3 linked regions of the Xenopus tropicalis genome follow. The protein of the gene in region 3 interacts with the protein of the main gene of each other region in a pairwise test. Links are inferred from orthologs where the notes say so. Each region holds a gene or a part of one and is shown on either strand. Other genes may lie near its edges.

What was found.
Region 1: the proteins of gapdh (region 3) and kat5 interact in binary tests that used the Homo sapiens proteins (3 or more experiments, as listed by UniProt). The link is inferred for Xenopus tropicalis from reciprocal best matches to the Homo sapiens genes GAPDH and KAT5.
Region 2: the proteins of gapdh (region 3) and prdx1 interact in a two-hybrid assay, tested with the Homo sapiens proteins (2 studies listed by BioGRID and IntAct, with this or other methods). The link is inferred for Xenopus tropicalis from reciprocal best matches to the Homo sapiens genes GAPDH and PRDX1.

The regions. Positions count from the first base shown.
Region 1 is NC_030680.2:37,908,590-37,912,772, forward strand, and holds the start of kat5 (histone acetyltransferase KAT5), read left to right. Parts: upstream 1-1,365; 5' UTR 1,366-1,373; coding exon 1,374-1,382; intron 1,383-1,960; coding exon 1,961-2,027; intron 2,028-2,572; coding exon 2,573-2,641; intron 2,642-3,782; coding exon 3,783-3,919; intron 3,920-4,183. UniProt on the Homo sapiens protein: Catalytic subunit of the NuA4 histone acetyltransferase complex, a multiprotein complex involved in transcriptional activation of select genes principally by acetylation of nucleosomal histones H2A and H4.
Region 2 is NC_030680.2:90,381,766-90,385,414, forward strand, and holds part of prdx1 (peroxiredoxin-1), read left to right. Parts: intron 1-92; 5' UTR 93-112; coding exon 113-218; intron 219-1,493; coding exon 1,494-1,647; intron 1,648-1,754; coding exon 1,755-1,877; intron 1,878-3,385; coding exon 3,386-3,516; intron 3,517-3,649. UniProt on the Homo sapiens protein: Thiol-specific peroxidase that catalyzes the reduction of hydrogen peroxide and organic hydroperoxides to water and alcohols, respectively.
Region 3 is NC_030683.2:10,006,018-10,010,372, reverse strand, and holds the start of gapdh (glyceraldehyde-3-phosphate dehydrogenase), read right to left. Parts: upstream 2,859-4,355; 5' UTR 2,811-2,858; intron 1,673-2,810; coding exon of another isoform or gene 1,576-1,672; coding exon 1,573-1,575; intron 1,494-1,572; coding exon 1,387-1,493; intron 1,286-1,386; coding exon 1,195-1,285; intron 1,104-1,194; coding exon 988-1,103; intron 352-987; coding exon 270-351; intron 1-269. UniProt on the Homo sapiens protein: Has both glyceraldehyde-3-phosphate dehydrogenase and nitrosylase activities, thereby playing a role in glycolysis and nuclear functions, respectively.

The sequences.
Region 1 (4,183 bases), on a different chromosome or scaffold from region 3:
TTGGCCAACAGTGTGATTTTCAGACTGTCTGTGGGCTCTGAATTATTGTCCCAACAATTTTCATACCATGGCAATTGGTCGTTTAGTTGGACAGGTTAGAAAATTTCTGTTGCATAACAACATTCTTTATATAGTCTTTTTTTATGTTTAGGAGTGGATAGGAATTAGGTGATCAACCCTATGCATGCAGCAGGACTTTTAACCTCATCAGTGCTTCTGCTTTAAAATGTTACCTTTACAAAGCCTTGCAATTAAATGCAATAACAGTTATACTAGAAAAGAAAAAACACTTAATTCTGTTTTGAGCCCTTTTTAGCATGTTTCTAAAGTCCGATTATAGATCTGCTCTGAAAAAGCTGAGCATTTCTTTAATATGTTGTTGTTTCAAATTCATTATATTCATTATACACTGGGTCCCACAAGAAAATGTTTTTTTAGGCATTAAAACTTTGAGGAAGATGTCAGTTTCTCACAGATAGAAATTATGCATTATCCAGAACCCTTGCCTGGCCTGTACATTTCTTGATTCCCAAGCAACCACTGGGTTATTGTTGTTATACCTCCGGGTCCTTGTGTCTTTGCCTGTTGCTACTAAGCAGCTTTCACTTACGTTTATATATACAACAATAAATAGAGTATATTGTCAGTCCATGAGCTGAGGTGACAGTAAAGCAGAGCATATTAGAACAATGCCCATTTGATCTTACCTGTTACTTCACTGCTTATCAGAAATTAATTTTATATATTTGTGTTAAAGTTACAGAAGTTAATCTTCTGCCTTAGCTATTGTGGTTCCAGATGATCAATAACGTAATTTATTTCCATTACATACAGCATAGGTCATTTCTCACTAGCCATTGCTTATACAACACACATCAAGGAAAAGAAACAAAGGCATTGGCATAACCAGAATTTACTGGGACCCACATCCCTTTAGAGTCCCCTTTGATGGGAATAAATGTTTCACACACATTCGCAACCAACCTCTGTATACTACACTGTTTTTACTATTACACACATGCGTAACTCCGTTTACGGAAGTGTTTTGGGCGGATCGCTATCACTGGAACGCATGGTGCGTGTCAAATCGAAAAAGGGGAAACAATTACCGCCTTTTTGCTATTGCTGCCCAGGCGAATGCCTGGTAATTAATACTATATTTATATTTGTCCAGTATGCTCCAGTTATTACAAAAAATATATTTCTTTAAAATTTCATAACCTGTTCCAAATCAAGGACAAAGGTGAGTTTTAGAGGCTCGTAAAAATGCTATGCTTATTCCGGCGCGACTTCTTTGCCCTTCGATACGGTTGTCAAGGAAGGGGGAGGCGGCTGCGAGGCTGGAAAGAAGGAAGTCGCTTTAAAGCAAAATCATGGCGGAGGTAAGATTTATTGTTTAGCTCTTATCGCTATGTATGCGCAATTGTAGGTGATATTTCCACAGAATATAGTTACATGCAAAGCGTAGGATACGAAAAGGGGCTGGAATTTTGCGTTATCCATTTCTTTTATGTCAAGAGAACCTCTCTGTATTATGAGGCCATAGAAACATTTAATCATATTGACCAAACATTGGCTGTCGCTTCTTGCATGGCCGTATATCAGCTGCTGTGAATGCAAATTCCAATTGCTTGTAAGGTTCCCCATTTATATTCCCCATTAATGACCATGTTATGTCAGGATTTCCTCAGACAAATTACTGCATCTTGAGCCATATTACATTTGGTTTTCTATATTTGTTTTTCAGCTGATCTGTCTAGGATTTATTTCCTCATTATTACTCCTTTTAGATGTGCTGTTAGTTATTGTATCTCACACATTGACACCTTTTATGTTGTACTTTATTATTTAAAGGGGACATAAACTGTCAGGAACAAGTATTTGCCACTACATTATACAGCCATTAAAATAATACACTGTTAAGTTGCCCGTTTCTCATTTATCCGTGACTGATTTTCAGGCAGAGATTGTGGAGGGTTGCCGATTGCCTGTACTTCGCAAGAATCAAGATAATGAAGTTGAATGGCGTAAGTACTACATAGCTTGAAACGCACTGTAATAAATATTGCAGAAATATAGCTTGTACAGGTATAGGACCCATTATCCAGAATGCTCGGGACCAAGGGTATTTCGGATAAGGGGTTTTTCCATAATTTGGTTCTTCATACCGTAAGAAAAAAATCACAAAAACATTCATTAAACCCAATAGGACTGTTTTGCCGCCAATAAGGATTAATTATATCTTAGTACAGATCAAATATAAGGTACTGTTTTATTATTACAGAGAAATAGGAAATCAATTTTAAAATTCTACATTATTTGATTAAAACAGAATCTATGGGAGATGGGCTTTCCGTAATTCGGAGCTTTCTGGATAACTGGTTTCCGGAAAATGGATCCCATACCTGTACTTGTTTATGTTTACAAGAGTGTAGAATTCTGTGTGTTTTTTATTTATATGGTGAATTTTCATTCAGATGGTTTGTGAAGAAGCAAAGAAATAAAATGTAATTCATAATAAAATATACCGTTTTTGTAACCACTTCTTTTGTCTCTGTTTAATCCTCTCTAGCACTTGCTGAAATTCTGAGCATCAAGGAACTTACAGGGAAGAAACTATTCTATGTGCATTATATAGACTGTAAGTTTATATTTAAATATGGAGTTTAATGTTTCACTTAGTATTACATATATCCTGCATATTACATATAGTAATATGCAGGATACATGGCTTAAATAATGATATGTACTGAAACTAGGCTTGAGCTGCTTAAAGGGGAGCAATCATGAAAAATGTTTTTAGAATATTGAAAATATAAAATCTAGACAAACATTTTGACAATGTATAGCATTTAGAAATGTTGCACTGTTACAAAGTTATGGCTAATTATTGAAGCAGCCTCCCATTCGCCACCCTCCAGAATCTCTGTGTGAGTGACAGAGCATAGTGAAAGCTGATTTGCTGTGGCATGTCATGAGGCTCAACAGCAAACATGTGCAAAGGGGAAGTAAAGGAATTGAGCCGGGCTGGGCTAGGGGCTGATGAAGCTGCATTTGTACATATAACAGCAAAGCAGCTTATTGTTTATATCCTTTATATCCTCATATACACAGCACTTCTGACTCTTTTGCATTCAAGATTGTGCTGCTCACCAGCAGGCTTAGATCAGCTGCCAGTTGCCCTCTTGCAATTTACACATGCAGAAACAAATTTTTATTCAATACAGGTGTGACAGTTGTGACAAAAGAGTGTATAAAAGACACTCCCTCCATACCAGTGACATACCTATTGCAGCAATATTTCAGACCTCTGCACAGGCAACTGTGTATGTACAGGCACACAGATTCCTGTATGTTGGATTCACAGACACCTATGTCGTCAGAGCCCTTCTGTAGACTTTCTTTCAGGCTTCTTGATTGGCCAGCCAAATCAGGCCCACTTTGTCAGTCTGTAGCATTTACTCTGCTATAGCTAGTCCATGTCTTTTTTTAGAAAATGCCATATATTCTGTTATCAATTAGCTTGCATATTATAATGTAGGGATGCACCGAATCCAGGATTTGGTTCGGGATTCAGCCTTTTTCGGCAAGATTCAGATTTGGCGAATCCACAGTCCTGGTGGAACCAAATCTGAATCCTAAAATTCATGTGACTTTTTGTCACGTAAACACAGAAGTTAAAATTTTTTAACCTCTTCTAATTCTTATTGCTAGCATTTTTTTCTCTTGTAAAATTATTTCAGTCTCTTTTTTTTACTTTTTTACTCTATTAATCCCCCCAGTTAACAAGCGATTAGATGAGTGGGTTACTCATGATCGTTTGGATCTTAAGAAGATTCAATTTCCAAAGAAAGAGGCAAAAACTCCAACAAAGAATGGACTACCTGGATCAAGACCAAGCTCCCCTGAGAGAGAGGTGGTAAGTGCTTGGGCACTCAAAGAAACTGGTCATGTCAATCTGTCTTGCAGGGATGATGTTGACCATAACAGTTATCCCTGCACCTTACTACTAAAATAAGTGCAACAGAAAGTAGCAGGTAGTATTGCTTTAGCAGAACTAATGCCACTCTGCTCCTTTGGGCTTTGGGAGATATCAGTTTCTTCCTGTGCCCTCTTTAAAACAAAGATACCTGCATGTTCCTCCCTCTTCTCCAAGTCATCCAGTTGGGTGCTATTTTATCTA
Region 2 (3,649 bases), on a different chromosome or scaffold from region 3:
CAGTTTTGTAAAAACTCTTGAATATTTGTAGGAGAAAACATTTCTACCTATTTCATTTTTTGTTTTGTTTTTTTTTGTCTCCCCCCACGCAGCCTTTTTCTAGACCTCTACAATGTCTTCCGGAAATGCAAAAATTGGACATCCTGCACCAGACTTCACAGCGAAGGCTGTGATGCCAGATGGACAATTCAAAGACCTTAAAGTTTCAGATTACAAAGGTTTGACATTTTAGCTAATCTGTTGGGGTGTGTGGGGTGTGTAAATATTTTTTTTTTTTTTTTTAACGTATCAAAAATGGTTGGGGCCTGCTGTGTGAACAAAAGTACTGTATTGTCATAGAAGGTTGTCAGATGTTGCTTAAATTGACATTTCTAGGCAATTCATTTGGTAAGATTCTATTTTAGTTAGTTGTGAACAGAACAGATTTTATTTGTGTTGTAGAGATTCTTTGAGCTTTAAAAATTATCACTACGGGTGTTTTTGGAACTTTGCTTTCCTGATTTGGTAATAAAAATGAGAACTAAAGATGAAGATGGCTAGAACTGTGAAATTTTATATACTTAACTGACTGCACTAGACAAAAGTTTCAGCATCTCTATAGTAGTAATGATCCTGTATAGGTCTTTACAGTTCCCACAGGAGCTCCTCGTCTTGGATTCTGTTAGAACTGTCCCGGACATTGCACATGCTCAGTGTGCTCTGGGCAGCTGTTGAGAAGCTAAGCTTAGGGTTTGTTGCAAGTTATCAAGCAAAATGATGTTTGTTTGTCATATAAACTGATGCTGAAGATCTGATTATAAAATGTTGATGCTAATTGCACTGGATTCAGAGCTGCCATGTTATGCAAATCTAAATTAATTACTAATCAGCCATATACTGTTACAGTTATATTCTATATGTACAGTATATTGTCTGTCGGTTCCTAAGCTCAGTATCTTACAGCGACACAGAGCATGTGCAGTGAATCATCAGAAAAGAAGATGGGGAGCTACTGGGGCATCTTTAGAAACAGATCTTCCCTGATAAAGGGCCTTGGCTGCCTTGGGCTAGTACAGAAGTGCAAAACATAATGTACAATATTTCTAGCCTATATCTTTAGTTGAGCTTTAGTTCCCCTAAAACAAGTGGATAATATTTGTTAGTACATTTGTGCTTGACTGGTTCTTTGACCAGCCACAGGAAGGATATGATGAGACCCAGTTGTGATCAATTGCAGCACATCCTGCACAACTGCCCCTTCATACCCTGCTCATCATTTCATCTATTGTATTCTTTGCTGCTCTAATATCAAATTTTCTATAAACACCCCTTTGGGTTAAGCTGATTAGTCTGCTTCCCTTTTGGCTAAGGCCTTATGTCTGTAAATGTTAGACAAGACTTATGTCCATTGCAGGTTACTAGCATTCTATGAAAAGTGGTATACTTTTCTTTGTTCAGAGCAGTGTTAATATATAATTTTTAATCCTGGTACATCTTTCTTTCTGCACCCACAGGAAAGTATGTTGTATTCTTCTTTTACCCTCTGGATTTCACATTTGTGTGCCCCACTGAGATTATAGCTTTTAGTGACCGGGTTGAGGAATTTAAGAAACTTAACTGTGAAGTGATTGGCGCATCAGGGGACTCTCATTTCTGTCACTTAGCCTGGTATGTTTTCATCCATTGTTTCATAAATGAGTCATCTGATCTCTCCTGTAGCATTTTCATAATGATGTTTTTTAACAAGCTTAACATAGCTAATGTGTCCTTCACAGGATTAGCCAACCCCGCAAGGAAGGTGGTTTGGGCAAAATGAACATACCACTTGTCTCAGATGTTCAGCACACTATCGCTAAGGACTATGGTGTTTTTGAAGAGAAAGAGGGAGTTTCATTTAGGTAACATTAACTGCTAGTATTCTGCTCTCTGTCACTCAGTTAAAATATATTTATGTAAGTTTGTATGGTCTCCCATTTGGTTTTTAACTTTTTTTATTTAAACTATTCTATCCAGTAAGACTGGACTGGACTGCTGTTTGACCTTGCTCCATAAGTAATGTAGTAGATAATGGCACATGGGGCTAATTTAGCCACTTTGGGCACTCTGTTTTTTTTAGTAGGCCAAACCCAAAACACTAAAGTGCCTTAAACCATCCTCCCTAAAAACTTGAATGGAAATTGACCAGAAAAAACATATATAAGTGCTATCCAGACAACAGAAGTCTGGATATGTATCAGGTCTATGGGCTACTAAAATATAATGTTTAAAGTGCCCCTGTGTGCCATTACCCTAATAGATATGTAAATCTTTTATAAGTTTAAACTCTCACAATCAACTAATTCATAATATGAAAATGCCACCAGAGGCCCACAGTGGGGTCTCAGGGGCATCTGGTAGAGACATATTTTGGCAAACACTTTATTAAAACAAAGGCAAGCGTAACCCTTTCTTGGCACACTCACTTCTGTTGGGCTGTATACTTAAACAGGAAATTTGGTCCCCCTTGCAATAGTGAAAGGTACTGGGAACTGGGATTTTAGCGCAGTGCCTCCACCTAGTGGAGGCAGAACAAACAGCAGGAAGTAGACTTGCCAAGAATTTGCAAGGTTAATATGCAAGGCCTATATATATAGGCAGTCTTTGCTGGTAGGTCTCTGAAAATAAGTAGCTGGGTATAATTAGCAGAACCTGGGAGACAGACTGCAATAGGTAGGTTTCAGTATAGGGAAAGCCTAGAAAAAAGGCCATAATGTACCAGGTGACATGTTCACAAACACAATAATTCCTTACACAAACCTCTATTGACAGCCCAACTGTTGGTAAGGAGAGCAAATGGCCATTTTTCTCACTTCTCACCATAACTGGCCTTAAGGCTGAGCCCCACAGTTTGGAATACACAGCCCTAAAAGCTAAGTTAAATGGAGTTTTATGTACAATTAAAGTATAGTAAAGAAGTTACTGAAAAAATCAATATACATACCACAGTAGGTGCATAAAACCTTTGTAACTAATAGAAGAGTGCTGGTAGTTGTAGTTCTGTTAACACTATAGTGCAAAAGATAATTAAAAAGATGTTTATCACAGAAAATCGGTTAGGCCATACACTAGCAGATATAAGCTGCTGATTTGAGTCCTTTAGACTGATTCAGCAGCTTATCTGCCCATGTCTGGGGCTCCCCGATTGGACAGGTTTGATTTCCTTGTCGGATCTGAGACCGGATCGGCTCATTGATGCCGTCCTTGTCCAATGGCGCCTATGTCCGTCATTGTAATTCGATCCAATTGGCCTGATATCAACCACCATAGGTGAGAATATCGGGAGAAGATCCAGTCAAGATTGTGGTGCAAATGCAATAGAAGAAACAAAATAACTGTAATACTTGTATTCTTTTTTTTTTTATGACAGAGGTCTCTTTATTATCGATGAAAAAGGCATACTGCGACAGATAACAATTAATGACTTACCTGTTGGGCGCTCTGTTGATGAGACTCTAAGACTAGTACAGGCTTTCCAGTTCACAGACAAGTATGGAGAAGGTAGGTTCTTTGTCTGCCAGTCTATAACTATGAATAAATAACCTTTATGCCTCCCTGCTCTAGGCAAGCATAAAATCACTGAGGGTGGTTATAATGATTTTCATATTATATTGTGCATATTTGTTAGACATGG
Region 3 (4,355 bases):
ATGATCCCAGGGGGCGGCCCTTAATTCATAAAATGGCAGTTTTTAGTTTAGGATTACCCAGTAGCACATACTACAAAAAAGTAAGTTAAGTTATGAAAACTTGCACAAAGCAGGGTTTTTATGTACAAGCTTGTTCACACTATTTTTAGAGAGACCTACATTGTTTGGGGGGGGTATAATTTCCATTAAGGTCACTCATACAGGGTGAGGGGGGAGACAGTTTGCTTTAGGCTCTATGTCCCAAGCTGAATAAGCCCCACTGCACTTACCATCAGTCCCTCCAGGATGCCAAAGTTGTCATTGATGACCTTTGCAAGAGGAGCCAGGCAGTTGGTTGTGCAGGATGCGTTGCTGCGGGCAAAGCAGGGGAAAAGGTAAACTAAGCATCACTCCCTTATTCCATCAGAGTAAAGAGGCCAGCCCATATAGGGAGGACACATTACTGCTTGTATTTGGGGCAAGGCCCTGTAAAGGCAGGCCCAGGGCTGGGAAGGCAGAGCCACTTTGCCAGTTGAAGCTAGCCAGCTTATGTAGAACAGTAATTGCCTGTGAGACTTACAGCATTAACATTCCTGAGCTAAAGAAAGTGGCAGAGAATGGGCAGCCTACATCAATGCCTGCCTACAGAGGCCTAAGCACTAGCCAATTACTGAGAGGTTCCATCAAGTACAGAATGGTTTGGCCAAGCAGCAAACCTAGAACAGGCTGCAATTTTATTATGGGCAGTAGAGGGAGCCCCTGCCTGATCAGTATTTGTATAGACAAATATCCTGATAAAAAAAGGTTTAAGGATTTACAGCCTTCAGGCTTAGAGTTTTACATGGTTGTTATAGTAAACAAGCCCTTATTAGATTACAGAAGCTGCAAACCATGAGCTATTGAGAACTAAAGAGTTAACCCAGTAATACAGAAGCTTGCAGACAGCCTGTAGCATTGTGGTAGTTCGCTCCCCCTTTAAAGGAACGCCCATTTTTACCCCACACTTACCTGACAACGTGAAGAGAGTTATCATATTTGTCATGGTTCACCCCAACAACAAACATGGGGGCATCAGCTGAGGGGGCAGAGATAATGACACGCTTGGCACCTCCCTTCAAGTGCAACTGCAGGTAAAAATTAAAAAAAAAAAAGTCCAGGGTGAATTCTAGATATAGAAAGCCAAATGTTATGGGGGGGGGGGGTGTAACTACTTACACCGGCCTTCTCTTTGGTTGTGAAGACTCCAGTAGATTCCACCACATACACTGCACCAGCATCGCCCCACTTAATGTTGGAGGGGTCACGCCTGGGGAGAGGAGAGAACTGTAAACATCCCCCCTGTGATTAGATTCTGCTGCAGGAACCCAGTCTAGAACCAGGCCAGGACTGAGCCACAACCTCACTTACTCTTGGAAGACGGTGACTGCCTTGCCATTGATAACCAGCTTGCCATTCTCAACACACACTGTTCCCTTGAATCGGCCGTGGGTGGAGTCATATTTGAACATGTAAGCCTGCGGAGAGTGGGAGGGGTTAATTCCCGAGCATTTTATACTCCAGAACACAAAAATGCAGATGAACGGAGCCACCTACCATGTAGTCCAAGTCAATGAAGGGGTCATTGATTGCAACGACTTCACATTTGCCGCTTAAAACAGCAGCGCGGGTCACCAGGCGCCCGATGCGGCCAAATCTTAAAAAGAAAAAATGATTTCTATCGTTAGATGTTTATGCGCTTAACCCCTTGTGCCACTGGCAAGCAGTAAGAAGATAAAGCCTTGCATCATAAGTGATGCGACGTCACAGCTAGATGTTAAAGGGGAAGTTTAGCCAATGCACTGAAACCACAATGCAACAGCTTAGTCCTTTGATCCCTATATGTTAAACTACAATTCCCATAACCCTCCATAGAATCAAGGCATGCTGGTTCCCCTCATTGGTTGGCTTGGGGAACCCCCAAGCCAACCAATGTTTGTCCACAGTGCACTGGCAATTGCCGACTCTTGCTGGGCAGTGTTGCCTGGTGCAATTGGTTGATCAGCATAGAAGTAATGGGGTGCACTGCTACCCCCTCTTTTTAAGCAGTTAGGGTGGGAAGGGCACCCTACATAGCTGTCATTATAGTGAATAGCAATAAACAGGGGCCAGTTACATAGAGAATACAGAGACCTAGATCAAATGGATCCCACTATTCTAAATGGCACAAGGGGGGGGCACATGATTTAGGCAATCTGTCACTAAGAAATATGCAAACTTAATGTACTTTGGTTTACTTGCCCTTTAAAAAAAAGGTCTGTGCCGCCATTAGCACAACACCTGCTGACACAGAAATCTCCACTGACCCAGACTCAGTTGAGCCAGCCTGGGGGGGGGGGGGCAGTTTATCCAAGCACTGCTCACGCAGCACAACCTGAATAATGGCTGTTATTACAAGCAATAATCAGTCTGCCTGCCACTGCCCTGTTATTACAGGCAATAATCACACAGCCTGCCTGTTGCGACTCCTGACACTGCCCTGCATGCTTCGAGGCACAATACGAGTGACTGGCTGCACATTCAGGGCTGAACTTTGCTCGGGGTGAAGTTCAACAGTGAAGTTCAGCGACGCGTAATGAGGACAAACAGGAGGGTGTGTAGTAAGGCTGAGAGATGAGTGGCCAGAGTGACGGGAGCAGCCTCCATTGTGGGGCAGTACTGGATCCGAGTCCTGGCAGAGACGTGCAGGGCAGAATGATAATGTCCCTGGCGTGGGTTACAGCAGCTGGCATCAACACCTCTATTAATAGGAGCCCTACTTAGCCATGCCAGGGGGGGGCATCTTAGTGTCCCACTTTAATGAGAGAAGTCTCTAGAAGGTTCACGAGAGCCCAGTCAGACTCTGTGCTGTGAGGATTATGGTCACTAACCAGAATAAAACAGCCAGGGGACTGTGCCTACGTGCGGCTGCCACCAGGGAGCAGGACGTGACTCAGCTTCCCCACACTTGTGCAATTACTCCTTATTCTGCAGCAGCGAGGGGAGGGGATTCACCCAAGGTGCCGTGCATCAGCCCCCCAGGTACAGCTCATCAATAGGACACTGACAGTGCAAGGGTGACCCTGGCCCAGGATACACTGTGACCTTGGGGTTGTCCTTGAGAGACATCAGCAGCCAGACACTGGGGACACCCCCATGCGCATTACTGTACCCCCCTCCTGGCAGAAGGTGGAGCAATGGGGAGCCGCAGCGGATGGAGAGGAGGGGTTGGGGTGTGAGGTGGGGAGCAGTGACTCAGTGGGACGTGAGGAAGCTTCACACTCCGCATGGTTCTGGCAGGGGAGGGGTTAAGGAGCAGCAGCCATTTTGAAAGAATAATCGGCCTGGACCATTAACCATTTATGAAAGGTCTGTAGCTTCATTACTTATAACCCCTCAACTGCCAGAGCCAAGGGGCATCTTACACTGGCCAATCGCTAAACCGTGCAGAGAACACTATCCCATCGGCCTTTAATCTGCCAAGCCATTAACCCCCCCCCAGCTGTTTGTCTGGGTCCATTACCCCCTTATACCCCAGCATCTCCCCCCACTCACCTGCATATTACCCCCTTAAGCCCCAGCACCCACCCCCAATGAAGTTATTAACCCCTTAACTTACCCATTGATTCCAATCTTGACAGTCATTTTGGTGTCACTTGGTTTAGTTATCAACCCCTAAAGGCAAGAAAGGAAATTAGTGGGGGGGGGGGGAACAAGAGGAGGGTACCCCGTGCCCAAGTCACTCTCCATCCCATCTATTGGGCACATCCACCCACCCCTCTGTGCCCCCAACAACCTACCTTTAATATTAACCCCCACACCACTGCACCTTGAATTGGTCCCCCTGCAGCTAAATCCCACCCAAAGGCACCCATATAGCCCATACCCACCCACTAGAGGGCAGGAAGTGCCCCATTTCACCCAGTGTCCAACCCAAATCATTAATACACAGACTCCTGATTACCCAAGGTTCCCACTTCCCTATATCTACCAGAACCCCATTACTCATCCCACCCTAAAGCCTCCCCAATCTAAGCACAGGCAGCCCTTACACCATCCCATCCTTAGCCACTAATACAGTAACCCCATTACTCACAAACACACTACATTGGAAAAGTACCAGTAGCACAGAACTACAACTCCCATCACTGTCAGTTGACACCGACATTAGTACCTTTAGCAACTGCAAACGAAACCCCCTAGGAGAGCATATAGTAGGAGCTATACCCAAGCCTACCCTGCCGAGCCACACCCCCAACCTAGGCTCCACTCCTCCCGCACTCACCTCTCGTTTCTGTGCCCTGTTGCAGAGTGACGAACGGATTGCCAGTGCGCCTTTATATACCCGGCAAAGCGGGACA